2 linked regions of the Ovis aries genome follow. The protein of the gene in region 1 purifies or fractionates together with the protein of each later gene. This does not show direct contact. Links are inferred from orthologs where the notes say so. Each region holds a gene or a part of one and is shown on either strand. Other genes may lie near its edges.

What was found. The genes of interacting proteins can lie anywhere in the genome.
Region 2: the proteins of CDK14 (region 1) and CCNY purify together in Homo sapiens (affinity purification with western blotting; 3 studies listed by BioGRID and IntAct, with this or other methods). This does not show direct contact. The link is inferred for Ovis aries from reciprocal best matches to the Homo sapiens genes CDK14 and CCNY.

The regions. Positions count from the first base shown.
Region 1 is NC_056057.1:8,879,807-8,885,147, forward strand, and holds part of CDK14 (cyclin-dependent kinase 14), read left to right. Parts: intron 1-2,686; coding exon 2,687-2,935; intron 2,936-5,341. UniProt on the Homo sapiens protein: Serine/threonine-protein kinase involved in the control of the eukaryotic cell cycle, whose activity is controlled by an associated cyclin.
Region 2 is NC_056066.1:17,428,787-17,434,127, forward strand, and holds part of CCNY (cyclin-Y), read right to left. Parts: intron 2,585-5,341; coding exon 2,418-2,584; intron 1-2,417. UniProt on the Homo sapiens protein: Positive regulatory subunit of the cyclin-dependent kinases CDK14/PFTK1 and CDK16.

The DNA of each region.
Region 1 (5,341 bases):
TTAAAAACAAGTTTATTTATTTATCTGGCTGCCTGGGATCTTAGTTGTGGCATGCAGGAGCTTCTGTTGCCATGCGTGGGCTTTCTTGGGGTGCATTGGCTTAGTTACTCTGAGGTGTGTGGGACTCAGTTCCCTGAAAGTGAACTTGCTCAGTTGTGTCTGACTCTTTGCAATCCCGTGGACTGTAGCCTACCAGGTTCCTCCGTCCATGGGATTTTCCAGGCAAGAATACTGGAGTGGGTTGCCATTTCCTTCTCCAGGAGATCTTCTCAACCCAAGGATTGAACCCGGGCCTCCTGCATTGTGGGCAGACGCTTTACTGTCCGGCCACCCTGACCAGGGATCAAACCCGCATCCCCTGCATTGCAAGGCAGACTCTTAACCACTGAACCACCAGAGTGATCCCTTAAAGGTGTACTCTGACTACTTTGAGACTTTTTTTTTCCTGCTCAATGCATTTACTATTATAAATTTTCCTACAGTTAAAATGCTATTTGAGCTGTATCTATTTTGATATTCTGTTCAAGAGATTTTATTCAACTAATTCAAGAGACTTTCTAATTCCCCTATTGTTTAGTTTCCAAATATTTCCTGTCTTCTCTTTTAAAGTACTTTTTTCCCTCTGCCCCCTTTTTAAGATACTCTCTTTTTTACTGGTTTTAAGCAATTTGATTTTGATGTACCTTCGTGCTATTTTCTCTAGATTTCTTATATTTAGAGTTCATTGACTTCTCAGGTTCATGTGTTTTTATGTTGCAGTTCAGCTGCCTCGGGGAGACGAGTGGTTTCATATCCATATCACATCTACTGTTTCTTGCTTTCATATCTGTATGAGGAACACATGAACTCTTAAAAAAAACTGAATGCGTTTAATATTGTGATAAATCGTTAGTTCTTGATCAGGAGGACTCTGCCTTGTCTTTTAAAGACATCTTCAGCAGTTTTGTGATACTGTAAAAAGTGGGTTGATCTCCTTCTTATTGGATTTAATTAAAATTGAACCTATGCTTGGTAGTTCAGATACACTCATAGGACAGAGTTGATACTTAGTATTTAATCCAAATTTTGCTTCAATAACTTGAAATAATTTAATTATACACTTTACTATTTTCAAAAAATTGCATGTCAAGCATGTTTATTATACAGTTCAAAAAATACAGGGGTATGTAAAAAGTAAGTAATCTTACCCTTTGCCCCTTCAGTTCTGCTTATCTGGAGGTATCTTAACACTTTGGTGTATTTCCTTGTATACCTTTATATTAATATGTGCTCATACACACACATACAAATAGCTCTATCTGTCATATATATATATGTATGTATGTATATATATATATATATTTTTATATCCATACACATAGTTTCATTTCTTGCCAGTATGGAATCATCCCATATGTATTACTCAGACACTTAAATGTTTGCTTTAACAATATGAGATTTTCTTAGATACCGTCTGTTTTCCTGCTTTCTTAAATAGGAATGTGGAAACTTTTCACAAGAAGAAAAAATAAAACTTTAAAAGCAAATCAGAGGTATCTTTTCTTTAGACTGCATGATAAAGTTACCTTACTTTACGGACAAGCTAGAGGCCATGAAGTTACTAAGTAAAAATGTCTTGAGAATATATGGAGAATGAGAGAGCTGGAACATACAGTGGAAAGCAAGGAGCAAAAATCAGAGAGACTAAAATAAAGCAAGACTCGTTCAGATTATGCTGGAAGAGAATGAGCAAAATTGAGAAGGAAGTAGGGGTGTAGTGAAGTAATACATACAGCATTTTGAAATGAGTGTCATTCCGTGTTTTTCTACGTGGTATTATTTTTCGTTTTCATCTGTTAGTTTTAGTATTAGAAACAACATTGCTTTCACCTTTCAGTATCTCTAACCGTTAGCCCTTTTATATGCTCCATTCTAGTTTAGAGATGAAATCAAGATGGGGATAGATTTTAAACATGTATTCAAGCTTTAAGGTTTTGAAGAACATAGTGATGTTTTCCTGTAGCCATGTTAGTTGCTTCTGGGATGGCCCATCAATGAAAATGCCCTTCTGAATTAATTGAACCGATTTTTTAAAAAAAAATTAAGGCAAATTATCCATCTTTTAGTGATTCGGAAATATCCCACTTGCAGTCAGGTGGTAAAATAAATGACAAGGTCGAGAACCACCTCAGGGCACTAGCAGCCTGGGTGCTAAGCTTCCTGTTTTAGGGATAACGTTTTCAGTGTCAGCCCTCAGTGAATATAATTATAATATAATATAATTATAATATAATATAGCGAAGTGTTAGTTGCTCAGTCTGTCCGACCGACTCTTTGTGACCCGGCCAGGCTCCTCTGTCCGTGGATTTCTCCAGGCAAGAATACTGGAGTAGGTAGCCATTCCCTTCTCTAGGGGATCTTCCCAACCCAAAGATTGAACCTGGGTCTCCTGCATTGCAGGCAGATTCTTTACCATCTGAGCCACCAGGGAAGCCCCCAGCAAGTATGGTAAGTGGAATGATGGTGACGAGTTTTTCATATTGTGGTTTAAGCTGGTGTAGCTTTTAGAATATAGCCTTTGGGGTTATTTCCTGAGATAAAAATGGGCATGCTTTGTAAGATAATAAATCCTCATGTGTAGTGATATTAAAGTTTCAGTGGAGTGATCTGAGTTTAATTTCTCTCTCTCTCTCTTTTTTTCCGCCAGATATGTGTCACAAAGATGTCCACACGAAACTGCCCAGGAATGGACTCAGTGATCAAACCCCTGGACACAATTCCTGAGGATAAGAAAGTCAGGGTTCAGAGGACACAGAGCACTTTTGACCCATTTGAGAAACCCGCTAATCAAGTGAAGAGGGTGCATTCTGAGAACAATGCTTGCATTAACTTTAATAAGAGCTCCTCCGCTGGCAAAGAGTCTCCTAAAGTTCGGCGGCACTCCAGCCCCAGCTCGGTGAGTGCGATCTTCTCACTTACTAACGGGTGAGCAGAGCAAGTGGGACAATGTGCAGGGAGCCAGCAGGTGGCTTTATCAGTGCCTTATTATGCATTCTCTCCTTAGGTGGTTCAGCGTTTTCTGGAAGAGAGTGTGCAGGCCTGCGCAAGTGCCAACTACATATACAAACTCTTGATTCACAGGCACCCAGCAAGCCAGTGAGAAATGATTAAACTTATTTTGGGGAAAAATTTTTTTTTCCCCTAGCTGTTTCCAGTTAGAGGAATTTGTCATTTAAACTCCTTGGGTAATTCAAACTCTTGGAGAGGATTTTCAAACTTTACTGTGTTGGCAGGCAGTAAGGATAGTTTTGAATTTGACAGATTCACAAAGAATTTCATTTCAGAATACTTGTTAAAAGTTGTTCACTTGTCTTATTACAGTTGGTTTTTGTTGTCAATATTTTTAAAATTAGGAGCTAGACATTGAAATTGATCTTATAAAGAGAAATCTTATTCATCACAAGGAAATTTTCTGAGGTCAAACTGTATTAAAGCAAGTCTTGCCTTTGGGCCGAAGAAGGTATAAAGTTTGAGATGATCGCTGCTTTTTGACTGTAAAGAATTTTATTGAAACTCATCTTTCCAAGACTGGCCTGCGTTTAACATTGTTAAAAAAAAAAATAAGCCTTATGATCTTTGGAAATTCAGTAATTTTCAGATTTAACCCACACTGAAGAACTTTATGACATAGTCTAAGAATTTAAAGGGTGAGAGAAGAGTGCTAAGAGAGTTTTGATTCTGTCATCTTGCTAAGAAGCATATTCCATTTCGTAGACTTTAAATATTAAATTCCATGATGGTCAAAAAAGAGCAAGAAATGTCAGCTGCTAGAATATTGACGCTTCAATTTAAGTAAAGTGTGGGATACCACGAAAATCTTGTGTCACAGGTTTTTTTGTTGTTGTTGTTGTTAATGAAGTGAAAATAAATATTGTTAATGCAGCCTTTTTGAGGAGAATTGATTATCTGGGTTTCCCCGGATTGGTCCCTATAATCTTATCCATGATTGCAGTGTAGTGTCTGTCTAGGTCACACATAAACAACACTAACACTTGGGAAAACTTTTAGATTTAGTATCATTTAGAAGAAATGAAAAGAGAATCTTTGAGAATGATTAAACTTCTCTTATGGCAAGAGAATTATATATATATTTTACTACAGATATTATTTGTTCAGTTGTGTCAGATTCTGTGTGGCCCCATGGACTGTAGCCTGCCAGGCTCCTCTGTCCATGGAATTCTCCAGACAAGAATACTGGAGTGAGTAGCCATTTCTTTCTGCAGGGGATCTTCCCGACCCAGGAATCAAGCCTAGGTCTCTTGCATTGCAAGCAGATTCCTTACTACCTGAGCCATCAGGGAAGCCCATTTTACTGTATAGTCATCTCAATAATGTTAATTGTCACCCTACATGATATATAGAAATGGGCATTGAGATATTGCAATGAGGCAAACTTATTCACTGTTTATATGAAAATCAAATTAAACTAGTTATTCTGTGTTTTATCTTCAATCCTAGTTATTGTCCAATCGTGCATTATTTCTTTTCTTGCTCAGATTGTTGCTGCTTTAGTCATTGGTCATTGGGAGCTCTTTTAGGTTGGCCCCTGTGTCCTTTTGAGATGTCTCATTCCCCTTTTAATTGTTGAAATGTTTATTATTTACTTACTTATTTTTGATTGAAGGATGACTGCTTTACAGTATTGTGCTGGTTTCTGCCATACATCAACATGAATCAGCCTTTGATACACTATGTCCCACCTCTTGAGCCTCCCTCCCACCTCCCACCCCATCCCACCCCTCTGGGTTGTCACAGAGCCCTGGCTTTGAGTTCCCTGTGTCGCACAGCAAATCCCCACTGGCTGTCTGCTTTACATATGGCAATGTTTGTGTTTCAATGCTGCTCTCAATTTGTCCCATATACCTTTTCAAAAAATATTAAAAAAATTTTTTTTTAATATTAAAAACATTTTTTATTATTTTTAGTTGATTGGTGATTAGTTTACAATATTGGTTGATTTCTGTCATACATCAGCATGAATTAGCCATAGGTGTGCATGTGTCCCCTCCCTCTTGAATCCCCTTCCCACCCCTCTAGGTTATTACTGAGCCTCAGTTTGAGTTACTTCAGTCATATTGCAAATTCCCATGGGCTGAAAAAGACACATGTACCCCAGTATGCATTGCAGCACTGTTTACAGTAGCCAAGACATGGAAGCAAGCTAGACGTCCATCGACAGGTGAATAGATAAAGAAGCTGTATAGTTATAATGGGATACTACTCAGCCATAAAAAGGAATGCATTTGAGTCAATTCTAACGAGGTGGATGAACCTAGAGCCTATTATGCGGAGTGTTTTTGAA
Region 2 (5,341 bases), on another chromosome or scaffold:
ATCACAGTCTCCCCTCCTCCCCTCCTCCGAGCCATAATCCGTGACATCTGACTGCAGCCTGGCCCCAGCACAGCACCTGACACACAGCTGGTGCTCAATAATTACTGTTATTAATTATTGAATGGAGTGGACCAAGATTAGCCTGAGTGGAGGGATCAGGGAAAGCTTCCTGGAAGTGACAGCTGAGCTAAGTCTGGGAGGCGGTAGTGGCTGGTTCCCTGACAGCAGCTCTCAGGCAAAAGATAGCTAAGAAACCTTAGCAAGTTGTTATCGAAGGCCTGAGCGCTTTGGAGGGAAAGATCAAGACATTTAATTCAGTTCATCTAATCAGAAGGGCTGCTTCCATGCAGCTTTGAGAAAGGAATTAAGCCCCAAATGTATATGTGATGTCAAAATCTACTCTTCTAATCACTTTTATTTATGCCTGCTCTAAGTCAGACTTAGGAGATCATCCTGTGAAATTCAAGAATCCAGGTAAGGGCTTAACAAGACTTGTGAGCTGCCTGTGGACACACTGCCACCTAGTGGCCACGTGGTGACACTGCAGCTCCCATTCTCCAATGCCAGGAAGAAACACCAGTAAGAGAGCCAGAGAAGCTATTCCCACCCCAGACGGTTATCTAGACACCACTGCCTTTTGTTGAGGGTATAACCAGGATTGAAGTCGAGAGGAATCTGGTTTCAAACAAGATGGCAGTTTCCCCAGGTTCCTTAGAGGAAAAACAGCCTTCCTGAATATTTATTTTTTAATGTTTCTGTTTAAGTTTTGGGGGAAATAAAGATTTTAGAGTGGCTGTGTTTTCAAACTAGGGTAATACCTAGAAAATAAAAATAATCCCCCAAATTTGAATTTCCAAACGATAGCAGTACCCCCTCCAGGGACATCTGACAGCTTGTTATATGATAAATCATCATGTCTGACTCTTTGCATCCCCATGAACTTTAGCCCGCCTGGCTCCTTGTCTATGGGATTCTCCAGGTAAGAATACTAGAGTGGGTTGCCATTTCCTTCTCCAGGAAATCTTGCCCAGGACATCGAACCTGAGTCTCTTTCATCTCCTGCACTGCCAGGTGGATTCTTTACCATTAGCACCACCTGGGAAGCCTAATTACCAGTAAATAGTTCTGATGTAAAATTTTATAATAAGTAAATTCAAGCCAATAAATAAAAACATTTCAGAAGTATTAGTTACATTAGGTCATTACTGTAAAGAAACCCAGGTGAATTGATGCCACTTAGCAACTTGTGAATGGGGCTCTACAATGGAAGAAAGAGTTGTTTCATCACCTCATGGCCTATTGACTTTTCTAGAAAAATGAGCCTACTTTTAAACACCAGCTACTAAGCGGCAATCCCACTCCTGGGCACAGACTCCAAAGAGTAGGGCCTCAGGGAGGAATCTGCACAGTGATGTTCACGTTTACAGCAGAGTTATTCACAGCAGCCAAAAGGTGGAAGGGACCAACTTAAGGTCTGTATGACAATTCTCTTAATAACTGTTTTCAGCTTGAAATAAAATCAAGACTTAAAAAAAATTTAATTTTCTTATTCTTGCTATCAAAAACTTCGTATTTTTCTTACTTTTGAAGGATAAAGAATAACAGGCGCAGGAGAGAGTCTTACTGGTCTGTAGGAGGAAAAGGCTCTGTGGCAAGAGATGCATGAACATAAACAAGTGTCCCCAGGGCAGACAAAGGCGAGGGGATGCCCAGCCCGCCAGCAACCAGAGGAAGGGGCAGGTGGGGCCCAGGGACACAGATGGCGGCTGGGACACAGTGGAACCTCCTCTAGCAGGAGGAGGTTGTCCGGCTTGAGGAAGCTGGACAAAAAGATGAGAAAAACGTCAGTAAGAATTGGGTCAGCGATGCAGAAGTTCATCCTGACTGTTCCCAAAGCAGCTCCTTTCGTCCTGACCCCACTTCCTGAACACCCAGCCCCAGGGACCCCAGGCCCCGGGCTGCAGGTGAACCCAGAACGGTGCCCTGAGAGAGAAGCGGCCTGACCGGGAAACACAGGAGGACCCTGAGGGACAGAAAGTACATGTGAAGCCAAGTGAACTTGCAACAGGAGACAGAAACAGTGACAATCTCCTCTGGAACTGAGCAGCGGCAGGGAGCACTTTAGCCAGTCTGCTGCCTGTTGTCAGTCTGCAGTGAGTAGTGGGGATGAACCCCACCGCAGACGGGAAGCAGGAAAGTAAAGCAAGGTTCCCTGGAACATGGTTTCAGAGACTAGATTCACAAGCCAGAAAGCGTTACCAGTACCTGTCTGGCACCCAAAGGACGAGACGCATAGGTTTTTGTAAATCCTATCCGCAACCGTGTCCTTGCTCGGCCAGCTTACAACAGACGCACAGCCACCGTCCCTCACTCCACCCCGAGCTCGTCCACGCGGGGATGCCCCCGCCCACACTCACATATCCTCCACCGTTATGTCCTTCAGGATCTGGCAGTAGTCCACGTTCCACACCGCCTGGTCGTCCCACACCTTGGAGGCCAGCAGGATGGCCCCCAGAACAATCCGCTTCCAGTTGGCCGGACAGATGTCAATCTCTGCGTATGTGAGAAGCCGTTCGAGGTACACCTGGAAGACACGAGCACACCGGCGCCCTTCATGCCTAAGCCACAGGCAGAGGGAGAGTCAGGGGCTCCCTCCCAAGCCGCAGCAGCCCCGATGGGCTCGGCAGCCCGTCTGTGCGGCCTGCGGTCTGTGAACCGGGGCCCAGGTGGGGAGCCCCAGGGAGGCTGACTGGGGCCAGCACCTGTCTGCCTCTGCCACCCAAACAGGAGCTCTCTGCCTCGAGATGGGGGCCGGCACTCAACTGTCTGCTAAGTCAGTAAACAGACGAGTGATGATGGTTCTTTTGCTTAAAAGGTTTTTGTTCTGCTTCCATTGCTTTACTAAAGAAAAGTCAATTCTTTCCATCTTAAGAAGCAGGATTTTTATGGCTGATCTCAGATACCAGGTCCTCCTCAGACTGGATGAGGGGCACAGTATGAAAGACAACATACAAATCATGAGAAAGAAATTACTAATGTAATCACAAGGACAAAACAGCCATACCCAATGAGCTGCCAAGAGGCCCTAAGTTTCCTGAGAGGTGATGAAACAGGAAGCCATCACGTCCACCTTACTGCCTCACCCTGGACCGGTGACCCAGCCCCGCCACCGTGGCTGCGTCTCTCCCCGGGCTGGGCAGCTGCCCTCCTCCACTGTCTCCCCCGAGGAAGCCAAGTCCCCTGAGGACCACGCCCGGGCCTCACTCCCACCGTGTGCCCAGCATCCAGCCCTGGGCTGGGTCAGGGAGCGGCCCCCGCGTGCTGGCCTCAGGGACACAGGACCCTGAAGGAAGGACGCTCTGGGTGTGGAATGTGGCTACGAGAGAGCAGGTCTAGGGAGGCCTGAGTGGATGAGATGACCACAGCAACGGCATTCAGGAAGAGCCGCAGTCGGGAAACTCAGGCCCTGGATTGAGAGACAGGTGTGGGGGAATAGGGGGTCAGAGGAGACCACTCAGGGAAGAGCCCACTCTGCGGTGCTCAGCACAGAACATCTGAGAGGCCTTCAGAGAGGCCTCTGAGGTCACGACACGTGCCCGCCAACCGTACTCTATGGACCTTTGGGGCACTTCCAAACGTCTCTCGGACAGAACAGCACCGGGCTAAGACAACCACTGGTGAAGAAAAGTAGGTCACTCAGCAGACTTCAATCATCTTTTCCGTTGTTCAGGTTTTAGCTTTAATGGCATTTATTACATTCAAGGAGCAGGAAGAGTAAGCTCATGTTTTAGATCATTATTTCTGTGTGAAAACTGAAATTCTTCAGCGAGAGATCCAGGCCAGGCTGAGTGGAATTTTAACTGGACACCAACCTCAGGAGCCCAGACTATGTATGTTACAAAGTTTGATGACCAACTCTTCTCATTCCACTAAGAAAAGAATTTTTTAAATGTGCCACAAAACTGTACTAAGAGTAGAAAACTGAGGCTGGATCTAACTCCAGATTTTTTGAAGCAATCATTATGGACACTCTTCAACCAGATCCCTAAGATGCTGCTGCTGCTGCTGCTGCTGCTGCTGCGTCGCTTCAGTCATGTCCGACTCTGTGCGACCCCATAGATGGCAGCCCACCAGGCTCTGCCATCCCTGGGATTTTCCAGGCAAGAACACTGGAGTGGGTTGCCATTTCCTTCTCCAATGCATGAAAGTAAAAAGTGAAAGTGAAATCGCTCAGTCATGTCCGACTCTTCGCAACCCCATGGACTGCAGCCTAGCAGGCTCCTCCGTCCATGGGATTTTCCAGGCAAGAGTACTGGAGTGGGGTGCCATTGCCTTCTCCCCCTTAGACGCTATTCCTTTTTATAAATGAGCTATGTAAACCTCTCCAAGCTCCCCAATGAAATAGCTTCTCACTGACTCAGTACAAAAAGAAGGTTATTCAATTTTGTTCTTACTTAACCACAGTAGATAGATATTAATAGGTACACTGCTGCTGCTGCTGCTAAGTCACTTCAGTCATGTCCGACTCTGTGTGACCCCATGGACAGCAGCCCACCAGGCTCCGCCGTCCCTGGGATTCTCCAGGCAAGAACACTGGAGCAGGTTGCCATTTCCTTCTCCAGTTAACAGGTATCTTAACATTTAAGATAATGTTTGGAAAAAACCAGGCATCTACCACATCTGATATTCCACTAAGATGAACTAGAGAATTAGATGAATTAGATATGATAACACACTCCATTACCGAGGGGAAGCAGATGTTATGTTTGGGGAGGAGGAATTCATAATAAGCACCACATAATAGCATGTAATTTGGCAGAACTTGCCAAGAAAGCTATATTCAAGGGTCAGCTGTAATTTCTTTAGTAAACTCCCACTTGGGTATTTTAATTTTCTGCCAAGTAAAATAATATACGATTGATTTTTTTCTGAACACCATTCCCTACACCATTGCTAATAGGACACTGCTGCTCAATTAAAATTTCAGATTTAATTTCCTAAGAAGGACCATCCTGAGAGTCTCTAGAAAATACAGGTTAGTGAGTGCTTACAGAGTGTTCAGGTGACTGTACAAAATAAAGCTGTTCGAAGGCATGGCGTGGGGGAGGAGGGGAGAAAGAAAGTGCAAACTCATGGACTCCAGGGTACACAGGACCACACTTACGAGGATGCTGGGTTTCCCTGTCCATCACAGAGAGCAGCTCCAGGTCCGTTCACTGTAGACTCTTACCACAACTCAGCTGACTGGGCCTCCCCAGTGCTTCCTATTTGCTAATATTTGAGGTAGCTGGATTCCTCACTGGACTCTATCTGAACAACACTTTTGACCTTGGTAGAAACC